3 linked regions of the Mus musculus genome follow. The protein of the gene in region 2 purifies or fractionates together with the protein of the main gene of each other region. This does not show direct contact. Links are inferred from orthologs where the notes say so. Each region holds a gene or a part of one and is shown on either strand. Other genes may lie near its edges. The genes, in order: Erbb4, Lrig1 and Erbb2.

Region 1 (4,404 bases), on a different chromosome or scaffold from region 2:
TGGTTTGGTTTTAAAGCACCCTTGCTTTTTTTTTTTTTGTATATATTTAGTCACTGCTTTGAGAGCAAGCATAGAAAATGCCTTCATAGAATAGCTGTACACATAGCAAAGGAGTATCCTCTGACTCACTACAGGTTCTGGCCCCAGCATAGAGCAGTTTTAGACCTGTGGCCTCTCAGACTACAGTAATCCCTTCCAGGGCATTTTAGACTTAGAGAAACTTAGTCGTACAGCGGTTGATGACCTTGGAAGCACACACCCTGCAAAGAGGGCAAGTGCAGGGCCTCAAGCTGGCCCTGCTATGGCGTGGCCCTAACGGCTCGAAGGTCAGCTAAGATCTCACCTCCTAAACACCTTCAGACCGAACAGCACAGACGAGAGAGTTTGCATAATTTCAGAATCAAAGAATGTGGTTTCACAAATATGGATTTTTAAGTTTGGCCCAATGTCATCTTGGGAAGGTGGGAGAGATGGCTTATTTGGAAAAAAAAAACTATTGGAAGATTTCATCTTACCTGCGAGGCTACCAGCTACCTACAATATCCATTCTAAAGTACTAAGTATGCTAAGTATGGAATATTCTGGGTGATGGCGAGGGACAAAGATATTTTATTCCCAAAGCAACGTTGACTTTCTATTTCTAGGGAAGGTTCTGTGTATGGACTGACACCTTGGAGCAATAAAGAAAATGCCCTGTTCTTGTGTCAAAAAATTCGTTCAGCAAGCATTCCTTCTGGTGGACTGACTACTCAGCGGGCCAGCTGTCCAGGGCCTCTGCCGGGGCAGCCCCAAGGGGAGCGTTTCAGACAGTGGTCTCCACTGAGCTTCTCAGATCCTGCTTCCCCAAGCTCCTACCATGACCCTGCTGCTCCCACTGTCTGACAGGTGTTTTTCCAACTCTAGAGGCAGAGGATTTTGGGGAGTGTCTGAGCCAATAAGATTTCTCCTTAGGGGGAGGGCGTGGCTACATGGGTCAGAGCAGGGGCGGGGCTTGCGCAGCGGAGGAAAGCCTGGCTGGTTGTGTGGAGGGTTGTTTGATTCCCACCCCCCACTCCCCTCTTTTTTTTCTTTCTTTTCTTTTCTTTTCTTTTTCAAAAATCTTTCTTCTGACTCTTATTAATTTCTCTGTGGGGCTGCGGCTGGAGACCGCGGAGCGTTGGAAATGACGTTCGGAGCTTTAATTACTGCAATGGCTGGACAAGTGTGAGGAAAGCTGACAGTGGAAAAAAAGGGGGACAGGATCGGGGAGAAGCAAAGAAGCAACACCCCCTCCTTTTCCCTCCAGATTTGGACAGGAGGTGCAAGGAGACTGAAGAGAGAGCTGAACATAGCCCGGTTTTGGGGGGAGAGGCCGGAACCCCGCCGCCTCTTTGCAATCAACTTTTTTTGGAAGCCTTTATTCCCTCTTTCTTTTTATTGTTGACCAACCAGTGAGGAGAGCGAGCGAGCGAGCGAGAAAGTGAGGAGGGAACGAGCGAGCGGAGGATCACTCCGGGAACTAGCTGTACGTTGTGCTCGGAGCACCAGCCGCACAGTCGCGCTCACTCCCACCCGCGCGCCCTCCTCCGCGGCCCCTTGCCGGGTCCGCGGGTCCACGGGTCCTGGAAGCCGCCGCCGTCGCCGACTGGCTCTCCGGCCCCGGGAAGCCCGTGCACCAAGCGCGCCGCGCCCGCCCCCCTTGCGCCCCCCACGCGCTCCCGGCTGAGGGGGGGAGATCTCCTCCGCGTGCTCGCAAGTGGCTATGGTATTTGGACATGTAATTGTCAGCGCGGGATCTGAGACTTGCCAAAAATGAAGCTGGCGACGGGACTCTGGGTCTGGGGGAGCCTTCTGATGGCAGCGGGGACCGTCCAGCCCAGCGCTTCTCAGTCAGGTGGGTCGCGGTCTCGCGGTTCCCGGTCGCGCTCCAGCTGTTGAACCCGCCACTGCCTCCGGTGTTTCCCTTCTCCCTCGCCCCTCTGTCACCCTTAGGCTCCAGGGACCCTAGGGACCGGGCTTCTGCCTTGGGTCGCCCCTAGCTCCATCCCAAACTTACCTTTGTGTGTGCGTGCGTGTGTTTTTAATTGATGCTACAAATGACTTCGCTTTCCTGCCACCCTCTATATTATTGTCCCCCCTCTCGCCCTCTCTTTAGCCCCCTTCTTTCTTTCTCGCGCGTTTTCTGGGAGCCTAAGCGGGATCGCTTCTGGTGGCGCCCGTTGTTCGGGGCGTGGGAGACCTGAGCCCGTCAGTGGAGGTTCCCTCCTTCTCGAGCTGGGAAGGGGGGGGGGGGGAATCAAACCAAACCGGAGAATCGCTGCACCTCTTCGGGCTGCCAGGAGGTTCCTGAGCTGAGCCTGGCTGGCCTTCCCCGGGGTGCAGGGCTGCGGCGGAGCGCGGCCGGGGAGCCGGGCTTGGCACCTGAGCATGCTGGCGCAGGGTCCCTGGCCCGAGTCTCCAGTAGCCTGCGGGGTCACACCGGACGCCCAGCCCTATCCGGGCAGCTGGAGCGCACCGGGTGCGCGCCTCGGCCGGGGGCCAGGGACTCTGGGCCTTCTTAGTTGGCATCTCTAGGCTGTCTTGAGATTGACTTGGGGCGAGAAAGAGGGTGTGTGTGTGTGTGTGTGTTGGGCGTGCGACTCTTCAGCCAGCATGATCTCTCTCTCTCTCTCTCTCTCTCTCTCTCTCTCTCTCTCTCTCTCTCTCTCTCTCTCTCTCTCTCTCTCTCTCTCTCTCTCTCTAAAAGAGCCTGGCATACTGAGTCCAGAGCTCGGCCTTCCCTCCCCATGCTGGACTTGGCTCTGGGAAGAGTTCTTCCAGTAGTGCAACTTGGGGTTGGCCTAAACTTCTGTTTACTGCCCTGCCGGGCTGCAGAGCTCGCGGGTGGCGCTCACTGACTTAGCCCGAGGCGGGCCGGGTGGCGGCGTCCTGAGCGCTGCCACTGTTGGCTGGATCGCCCAAGCCCCAGGTATTTGGACAGAAAAAGGACTAATTGACCCCGAGAGAAACAGTGTCGCTGTCGTGCTGGGGCCGCCAGAGCCAATGACAGCAGCTGCGATGTAGAGGAGCTCAAAGTTTCTTGACTCTTGGGAGTTACCCCGGGGATGAGAGGAGGGGACGCGAAAGGACTAAGGAGAATCTGTGTGTCTGACCTGGCCCAGAGGGGAGAGAAGAGGGCTTTTGGAGAAGGCAGAGAGATTTCCGGAACCTTCCGGGGCTGGTGGCGGGAACGTGGGCGTCAGCTTGAGAAGATAAAACATTCAGGAGTGGCGACAGGGAGAGCTTTAGGTCCCTAGAGGGTGTCCTTCTGACCTCACCGAGAAAGCTGCAGCTTGCTAGTTTTCCCGCTCCGCCCCCGCTCCCGCCTCTTCCTCCTCGCCTAGTAAATAACAAGTTACAATCTCTGAGCGGTTCAAAATGACCTTCGAATGGCACATGTGCGCCATTTGTGCTGGCCGTTTGCATACTCCCAGTGACTCTGAAATTCTTCCTGCATACCAGATCCTGCGCTCCAGCCACCTCTGGAATCAGAGCAGCAGCAAGGACTTGAGATTCCAGGCGGCCGCCTAGATACATCCCTTTCTAGCCCCCGACTCGGAGCCCTTTGCCTTTCCCCTCAATGGGTTGATTATGCACATTGACCCATTCAAAAACACTTGCCACTGTCATGCAGGCTTAGCCGAGAGGAATTTCTATCAGGCCACCCTACCAGGGAGCTGTCTGGCGTGGCCCGGGCCGCTGGGGGGATCCCCGCTTCAAGTCCACAGCAATTTGGTATTAACTCTGCAGCTCCCGGTTGGGGCTATGCCGAAAAGCCCTTTTCAGAATTTAGGCAAGGAATGTAATCCAAATTAGTTCTGCAGCTGTCCCCTTCCGCGTCTCAGAGGACACCAGCCTGCGCCCAGCTCCCTCTGCTCTTTTCCCTGGGCGAATTGTCAGACCCACAAGTGAGCCCATTTAGAAGCAGGAGGATTAGCGTGCCATTGTTGTTTCGTGTGTGACTCTGTACTTGAAATTCTAGGGGCACAAAAGAGAGCCTCACTTGTTCAAAACACAAAGTGATCTAGATGAAAGGGCCGCACAAAGAAAAGCTCTCGGGTGTATCCTCGGTATAATTGCAACAAGCATACTTAGGTGATCTATTGGAAACTGTCTGTGCCCCCAAGGGCTTCTTCTTTTTTTCCAGGCGCCTCCACCACACCTGACAGAGAAAGTTCAGCTGGTTTTAATGTAGTGCTATTATCAAAACAAGTCGCTGTCTGGTGAGAGTGAGGCTCTGTTTGCGGCTGTGCATGTGTGTGGCTGTCTATCCAAGTAAATACATAGCGCGCGTCTCCTCTCTCGCGGTTAGCAGTCAGCAGCAGTTTGGAGGAGTTTGTTTTGGTCCAAATGAGAAATTAAGTGCGGATAAGTAAACTAGGCTGC
Region 2 (4,304 bases):
GGTTTTTGGTTTTGTTTTTGATGTAGGGCAGAGAGGCCAGGAAGAACGTCTCATCATAAGACTGATTCCTGTGACCCTAGTTAGTGTAGTCCATGGTTACAGATCAGCTGCTGGGTGCAATTTATTTCCCACGGAAACCACATGTATTTACTGCACAGTGCCTCATTCTGTGGTTCTTGGAGTACACATATTTAATTAAAAAGGGGTAGGTTTAGCTACAAATCTAAATAACTGGTTACAGTGCGATAGTTCTGATCTTTTCAGAAGGGTCCTGGGCCCAGGTTTGGCTGTGAATGAGTGCATGGGGATAGGGTTTCAATGTGTGTTTCTTTCCAGCTCTAAGAATGAGAGGTTAAACACAGGAAGAGCAGGTCTCAGGAGAGCAGCCACTGCAGTAAAAATAATTCCTCCATGTTGACTTGCACTCTTGCTGCTTGTCCAACCCGCTGAAATGTGCACTGGGAGAGTCTCTTTCCTCCACTTTGCTGGAACATAGATTTAACCATCTTCTTGACCAGTGGTAGTCAGGACCCAAGTTTAGTTACAGAGAGCACAGAGAACACGGAACAGCTGAAACACACCCACAGGCTAGCTCTGGCAGGACTAGCATAGCCTCCTAGCTAAGGAGATGGGATCCAAGACCGAGAAGACCGTTGAGGTCTCGTTGAGGTCTGTCTGGGTTGCTCTGAGCAGCAGTGGGAATGCATGATCCTCCTGTCAGTGGTTCCCTGTGGCCTCACGGAGCTACAGGATCACTTCCTGAACGATGCTAGTTATGACCCATCTAGCAGCCTGGGTGTCCCGGGCCACTTGTCCGACCTTTTCCCTGTGAGTTATGCCTGCTAGAGGTAAGACAAGCATCCTCTACCTCCCACTGCATTAATTCCCAAAGCAGGCTTGCTGACTCTCGGTGCACTGGCTACCTGGGTAGAATCAGGGTTGTGCAGACAGCACCCTAGTCACATTAGAGCAGGCAGCACTTTACAGCCAGTGCTAATTGACTCCACACTCATTAACTTGTTTAGGTTTTCTCAAGTTAAGTTGTCTTTGGCTTCCCCCTCTGTCTGGTGGAGGGCAGTCTTCTGTTTCCCTAAAACCTGATCCCTAGTTGGTGACCATGCTACACTGGGCATTGTAGCAATCCCCTCAGAACTACCCACCCACGGTTCATGAGAATCCTTGGTAGGAAATCAGAGGTTCAAACTCTGCTCCCTGTCTCCCACTTGTTTCTAAGAAACAGAAATGGCCACCATACACATTCTAGGAAATCAGCATGAAGCTAGGTGATGACAAGAACAGATGAGATGGGGAGGTCCTTTTGTGGAGGAAGCCTCGCTATGTAGACAGCACAGTATCGGCTCCTGGGCCCACCCTGGGATCCATCCAAGCGGATGGGAGCAGCTCTGACCAAGTGCTCAAAGAGCGTTTCTCATAACAGCCCCAGCTGGAGCAACCCAGACACCCATGCATAGACAGTAGGCAGGTAGCTATGCCATGGGACATTAGGTCAGTCTGTCTGTCTCACAGCATGGGTGAATTTTGACAATGATCTGCCAAGTGAAAGAAGTCTCATGAAATGTCTAGAATAAAGGACCCCATAGAGGTCAGAAATGTATGTCACCAGTCCCACTGGTGAGCAGTGGAGACAGAAGGGAGAGCTAAACAGGACAGCCTTCTCTGTTAGAGATGATAAAAACATTTAATATCGATTGTGCCAGTGATTACAACTATTTGTGAATACACAGCGACCGCCGTGTCTGGTGGAACTGACTCGCAAGTGACCAGTTCCTTGTCAGCCTGAACATTTGCTGGTGTCCGAACAGAACAGGGGTCTTACACTTGGTTCTCTCCCTAGATGACTTTCCAAAGCCACAGATCATCACCCAGCCTGAGACGACCATGGCTGTGGTGGGCAAGGACATCCGTTTCACATGCTCCGCAGCCAGCAGCAGCAGCTCACCAATGACCTTCGCCTGGAAGAAGGACAATGAGGTCCTGGCCAATGCAGACATGGAGAACTTTGCCCACGTCCGTGCACAGGACGGCGAAGTGATGGAGTATACCACTATCCTGCACCTCCGTCACGTCACCTTTGGGCACGAGGGCCGCTACCAGTGTATCATCACAAACCACTTTGGCTCCACATACTCCCACAAAGCCAGGCTCACTGTGAATGGTAAGGACATGGCATCTCGTGCTTCTCAAGCACAGAGTCCCACAGACTACACTGCTGATTGTCCTCTCTGACACTGGTGTGAAGAGACACGAGCCGTGGGGTGCATCTCTTTGTACCAGTCCTTGGGTTTGTCCCAGACCAAGTTTAACAGATTGAACCATCGTTTTTTGTTTGGGGTGGGAGATTTTTAAAGTCCAGTTATGTTAAGTGACATTGTGGAGTTAAGCTTTGTATTTTTATGTTCCTTGTCTTCCATAAGCCAAGAGATGCGGTTTCTAGATTCCAAGCATCCCTAGGTTCTAAGGAAGCTTGTGACCTTAGAGTAGATGTTATAACTGGGAGCAAGGCCGTTTGGGACAAGTACAAGCCCCACTTCCTCTAGAACAATGGTTCTTAACCTTCCTAATGCTTGACCCCTTAATATAGTCCCTCATGCTGTGCTGACCCCCAACCATAAAACTACTTTCTTTGCTATTTCATAACTGTAACTTCGCAACTGTTATGAATCACAGTGTAAATATTTTTGAACATAGAGGTTTGCCAAAGGGGTTCATGATCCACAGGGTGACCCATTGTTCCGAGCCGCTACTCTTCAGGCTGTGGAGAGCAGGTGTGGGTTGAGCCCCTGGCTCCGAGGTCCAGTGTGCAGGGAAGTTGTGACAAGGGTCTCTTACTCAGGAGCCAGCCCCTGGCCATCAGGGTGGCTTTCTTCTGGACTACTGATGGATGTGGTATGTTGAGGGATGAGGACAGCATCAGTAGCTAACTCTTCCACACTAGGCTAAGCTGGCTTGTGGGTGGCCTGAAGCACTGCCTCCATGCTCTCTGCTATTGTACAACACCACAAAGCACTCTACCACAGCGAGGCTGGCCTAAGAGAGGCCAGAGTGTTTCTTGGAGACCAAGTAGCTGTAGACTCTCCACCACAGTAGCTCAGACATCAAGTCTGGATACTGTCCACTGTGGCAGCATTGATACTAAAGCTACAGAAGCGAACGAACTACATATTTTTGCCTGGGTGTGGCTGGTAGTGTAGCCCCCATAGACCCCACCCAGAGTGGGTTTCCTCAAGAGAGGTGAGCCAGCTCACTGGTTCCTCCTGGTGACAGCATCCAGCTATCCCCTAATAGCAAATGTTTTGTTGCCCAGCTCTCTCCAGATAGCTAACTAAAGCAGGTCAGCACCAGACTTTTACTTCTGGAGGATTCCCTACATAGTAACTACTGTGGAGCTTCGGGAGGCAAAACGCTCCATCAGAAGCCTTCCGAGAGTGCTTAGCACCAGGCTATAGCAATAGGAAGGCGTTAAGGGTAATGGGTGCAGTATTGTGTCTGTGACGGGGAGAGGCTGGGCACCCCTTGGGTGGGATGGAGTAACAATGAACTGAGGCCTGGGCACAGTGGGATCTGTTTACTATGAGTTTCCTTTTGTATGCAGCCATTCCAAGTAGCTTTACCTATCATTTTTTTCCAGTGTTGCCATCATTCACTAAAATACCCCATGACATTGCCATCCGGACTGGCACCACAGCCCGCCTCGAGTGTGCTGCCACGGGCCACCCTAACCCTCAGATTGCCTGGCAGAAGGATGGAGGCACCGATTTCCCGGCAGCTCGTGAGCGACGCATGCATGTTATGCCAGACGATGATGTGTTCTTCATCACTGATGTGAAAATAGACGACATGGGGGTCTACAGCTGCACTGCCCAGAACTCGGCAGGCTCGGTTTCAGCCAACGCTACCCTCACAGTCTTAGGTTCGCTACGACAGCTCTCGCGCACGTGTGGCAGGGTCGGGTGGGGATTCAACTCAAGTATTAGAGAACCTGCTTTCTGGAGTCCCTGTGGTAGACTCTGTCTAGTTAATTTGAATTTTGGGGCTGCTTTTAAGCGAGTAGTTTCAGCTCATAAAAGACAATGAGCTATATGTTAGTCTGCGTGAGAATTCTGTGTGTGTGTGTGTGTGCACTCACACAGGTGGGCTATGATCTTAGGAGTAGTGACAAAGGTCTATAACAGGACAGTTTGGGATAGGGTAGGGCTTTAGTTCTTTGCTCTGTTGAGCTGTTCCTAGAATGGCAGTGATTTAATTACATTAGGCTTTCTGGAAAGCTTGGTGCTCCAATAAAA
Region 3 (4,304 bases), on a different chromosome or scaffold from region 2:
CATGCCCCTCCCCCAGATCCACCCATGCCAGAACTGGTCCTCTCCTGACCTTGTAGACAGTGCCGAAGGCTCCTGACCCAAGCACCTTCAGCTTCCTTAGCTCTGTCTCCTTTAGGATCCGCATCTGAGCCTGGTTGGGCACAGCTCCACTGGGCGTCAGCGGCTCCACCAGCTGGAGCGAGAGGGTGGTAGGGTGAATGCCCAGCTAGCTGCAAAGCCAAGGGGGTGCTAGGAGGCCCTCGGCACGCCTCACCTCGGTCTCCTGCAGCAGCCTACGCATGGTATACTTCCGGATCTTCTGTCGCCTTCGTTTGATTAGGATTCCAATGACCACCACTATGATCAGGAACAACAGGACGCCCACCACAGTTGCAATGATGAATGTCACTGGGCTGGAAACAAGAGCCAGAATCAGAGACTGGGGACTAGTTTGAGGAGGAAGCTTGAAGAGAACCCATGAAAGGACAGGAATGTCCCTTGGCTCAAAAACTTCACAGGAGATAACCCACCTTGTTAATCTGCACTGTGCAGCCCACCCCAGGGGCTTCTGCCTCATATGAAATGGGGTCCAGTTATATGTACCCCAAAACTCTCAGGTACTAGCCAAAGCATTCTTCAAGGAGCCATGGTTTCCCCTGCCTTGCAGCAGTTGCACCTAAGTTCTCAGGACCCGTGTTTCTCCATGATATAATCGTCTATGATTCTGCTTATCTTGGGGCACACAGGGTCCCTGATAGTCACCAGACCATTATTTGTTGGTATACTTAGTCTTGAGGCTACCTCACGATATAGCCCAGACTGGCTCTGAACTTACAAGCCATGTGCCTCAGTCTCCTAAGTGCTGGGGTCACAAGGTGTCTGCCACCATGTCGAGGCAGAACACATTCTTGTCACCCTTGCTTCCTTAATCCCCATCTTGCTCTGCACAAGGCCTGTTGTTACAGCCAGCGTCCAGTGTTTGCCTCACAGGCAAGCAGCAGCTTCTTAGAGCACACCCTAGACTGCTTTTCTCCCTTCTAAAGCTCTCCTCTGGCAAACCAGAGTCCTGGGGCCCAGGGGTCAAGAACCCTACCCTGCCTTCCAGATCTAGACCTCACGGCCTCAGTTCACACCCTTTCTGCACTGGTGTGGTTCACAGCACACACCAGAGAGCTCTTAGCCACCCTAGACTTGCCTGACTCTCCACCGGAGTGCAAAGAAAACACAACACCGTCCCCCCTGCCCGCCCCCACCCCATCCTGGAAGCTTCTAGGTGCCCAGCTCGGATAATCTGAGGTTTCACAAGCTGCCACTGCACTCTGCAGTTCTAGAAGCTTGGACCTGGCCTGCATCCCTAGGGAACTACATTTCCCAGCATTCCTTACTCCAAAGCATCCTGAGCAGATCTGTATCCACTTGTTGAAACAAAAAATCAGTAAAGAAAGAATGGGCTAAGGAGAGAGACAATGTGCATTCTGGGTAATCTCTCTTCATTACTGACCACGGAGGCCAATGAAGGAGTCGGGAAGTAAGGGGGTACCTCTGGGGCTCAGGCCCACCTGGCTCTCTGCTCTGCTGGGCAGCCTCGTTCGTCCAGGTCCACACATCTGCAGAAGAGAGAGAGAGAGTGCCATCATCAAACCTGGGAACAGCCTCCTGGGGCAGGTGTGGCAGGATTGTTCCCATGTGACAAGCAGAACCGGGCTCCAGGTCTCCAAATTGCTCTGTACTTGTCCACAAGAAGAGTCCCTCTTCAGTCTGGGAATCCACCTCCCCTGCACTGTTGGGACTTCCTGCGCTGGGCAGGAAGCAGGGCACTATGACGGTGGGAAGATCAGCTAGTCCCTCCATGAAAGAGGCCTAGGGTATATGGTACATGTGAGGAGAATTTGGGAAGACCTATTAAACACACAGGGTGGCTGGGCCATAGCTTAGTGGGAAAAGGTCTACAAGGTCCTGGCACCGATCTCCACCAACCAAGCAATAAAATGTCAACAGTTCTGCCCCAACAGTTGGTACTACCATGCCAACACCAGGTCACAAGAAGGCATGCACACAGATGCCCCTTTGTGTGTGGAGCTGAACAACAACAACAAAAATCAGGCCTTACTAGAAGAGGAGGTGCCTAGTCTTACTGTAACTTGATATGCCATGGCTGATCAATATCCATGGGAGGCCTGCCCTTCTCTGAGGAGAAGGGGAAGAGGAATGGACTGGGGGTTGGGGGGACTGGGAGGAGGGAAGGGAGGAAGGAAAAACTGTAGTCAGGATGAAATAAATAAATAGGCAAGCAAGAGCGACGATATCCCTCAAATAGGGCCTGTACTGAGTGATGTGCTATGAAGGGGGACATCTGTAGAGGGTAGATGGAGAAACATTTGTAGGAAAAGATACAGAGAGTGGGTGAAAGGCAGAGCACAGAATATGAAGGAAAGTGTTGGATTATATCAGGAAATGAGGGCAAGCTGGGTGGTGATGGCCCACACCTTTAGTCCCAGCGCTCGGAGGCAGAGGTAAGTAGATTTCTGAGTTCAAGCTAGTTCCAGGACAGCCAGGGCACACAGAGAAACCCTGTCTGGACAGGAGAGGACAGAGGGAGAGGGAGGAGGAGGGGAGGGATGGGGAGAGGAGAGGACTGGAGAGATGGCTAGGAGGTGAGAGCACTGACTGCTATTCCAGAGGGCCCAGGTTTGATAATCCAGCACCCACATGTCAGCTCACACCCCTCCATAACTCGAGGTCCAGGGGGTCCGACTGCCTCTTCTGGCCTACACAAGGCACCAGACAGATCTTCATGCAGGCAAAACAATCCGCACTTTTAAGTCAGCTTGATGGAAGCTACTGCCATTTGGGAAGAGGGAACCTTAATTGAGACAATGTTTCCACCATTCTGGCCTGTGCAAGCCGGTATAAGCCTGTGCACATTTTCTTGATTGATGGTTGCTATGGGAAGGCACAGGTCCTGGTGGGCAGTGCCACTACTGAGCTAGTGGTCCAGTGTACTGCAAGAAGGTAGGCTGAGCAAGCCATGCCGTGCAAGCCAGTAAGCAGAGTCCGGTCGCATCCTCTGCATCAATTCCTGCCTCCAGATTTCTATCTTGAGTTCCTGCCTCAACTTCCCTGGATGGGACTATGATGTGGAGATATAAGTTAAATAAACCCTCCCCCGCCAAGTTACTGTTTATTGTGGTGTTTATCACAGCAGTAGAAACTCCATACACACACACACACACATACACACACACACACACACACACACACACACACACACACACACACACACACACACACCTAAAAGAAAGAAACGGCCACACGTTGGTAGTTGGCAAGATGACTCAGCAGGTAAGGGTACTTGCCACCACACCTGACAACTGCATTCAATCCCTGGAACCCATAGGGTGGAAGGGAAGAGCTGACTCTTTCAGATTGTCTTCTGACATCCACAAAGTCTCCAGCACTAGGGACTTGGGGAAACAACTCAAAGTACTCACAGTAGAACCGCCAACAGTATTATTTTATATCTTATGTGTAGTTTAAAATTTCTAATGCACTACTGTACAGATTTAGTTCGGTTACATTATTTATTTGTGTGTGTATGTATGTGTGTGTTTGTGCTTGGAACTTGGAAGGCATGCATGTGCCACAACAGGCATGTGGAGGTCAGAGGACAAGCTCTGGGAGTTGGTTCTCTCCTTCCATCATGTGGGTCCTGGGAACTTAGGTGAAATCACTAGGCTTATGAGCAAGTGCCTCTACTTACTGAGCTATGTGTTAATGTGTTATTTTTAACTTTATTTACATGAATGTGTGTGAGTGTGTGTGTGTGTGTGTGTGTTGTGTACACTTGCAGAGGCCAGAAAAAGACATCAGATCTCCTCAAGCTAGTTATCAGGCAATCAAGGGTCTCCTGTAGTGTGTGTTAGGAACCAAGTTCCAGCCTTCTGAAAGCAGCGAGTCCTCTTAACTACACAACCACCTCTCCAGACCCTAAGGTGTTATTTTTTTGTAATTAGAAAAGAGATAAAAATTACACCTCCGGCTGAAGAGATGGCTCAGTAGTTAAGAGCATTGACTGTTCTTCTAGAGGTCCTGAGTTCAATTCCCAGCAACCACATGGTGGCTCACGACCATCTGTAATGGAATCCGATACCCTCTTCTGGTGTGTCTGGCGAGAGCAACTGTGTACTCACATACATAAAATTAATAAATCTTTTTAAAAAAATTACACCTCAATATAAGTGAACGTAGACTTCTGCCCCTTTCACAACAAGAGCTCAAAAAAGGCTCCCCCCATGAAGGCCCTCCTTTCTACAGAAAAGACTCCA

What was found.
Region 1: the proteins of Lrig1 (region 2) and Erbb4 purify together in Homo sapiens (affinity purification with western blotting; 3 studies listed by BioGRID and IntAct, with this or other methods). This does not show direct contact. The link is inferred for Mus musculus from reciprocal best matches to the Homo sapiens genes LRIG1 and ERBB4.
Region 3: the proteins of Lrig1 (region 2) and Erbb2 purify together in Homo sapiens (co-immunoprecipitation; 4 studies listed by BioGRID and IntAct, with this or other methods). This does not show direct contact. The link is inferred for Mus musculus from reciprocal best matches to the Homo sapiens genes LRIG1 and ERBB2.

The regions. Positions count from the first base shown.
Region 1 is NC_000067.6:69,105,144-69,109,547, reverse strand, and holds the start of Erbb4 (receptor tyrosine-protein kinase erbB-4 precursor), read left to right. Parts: upstream 1-1,488; 5' UTR 1,489-1,791; coding exon 1,792-1,873; intron 1,874-4,404. UniProt on the Homo sapiens protein: Tyrosine-protein kinase that plays an essential role as cell surface receptor for neuregulins and EGF family members and regulates development of the heart, the central nervous system and the mammary gland, gene transcription, cell proliferation, differentiation, migration and apoptosis.
Region 2 is NC_000072.6:94,609,244-94,613,547, reverse strand, and holds part of Lrig1 (leucine-rich repeats and immunoglobulin-like domains protein 1 isoform 1 precursor), read left to right. Parts: intron 1-1,855; coding exon 1,856-2,176; intron 2,177-3,649; coding exon 3,650-3,931; intron 3,932-4,304. UniProt on the Homo sapiens protein: Acts as a feedback negative regulator of signaling by receptor tyrosine kinases, through a mechanism that involves enhancement of receptor ubiquitination and accelerated intracellular degradation.
Region 3 is NC_000077.6:98,428,999-98,433,302, reverse strand, and holds part of Erbb2 (receptor tyrosine-protein kinase erbB-2 precursor), read right to left. Parts: intron 1,587-4,304; coding exon 1,539-1,586; intron 393-1,538; coding exon 254-392; intron 173-253; coding exon 50-172; intron 1-49. UniProt on the Homo sapiens protein: Protein tyrosine kinase that is part of several cell surface receptor complexes, but that apparently needs a coreceptor for ligand binding. Essential component of a neuregulin-receptor complex, although neuregulins do not interact with it alone.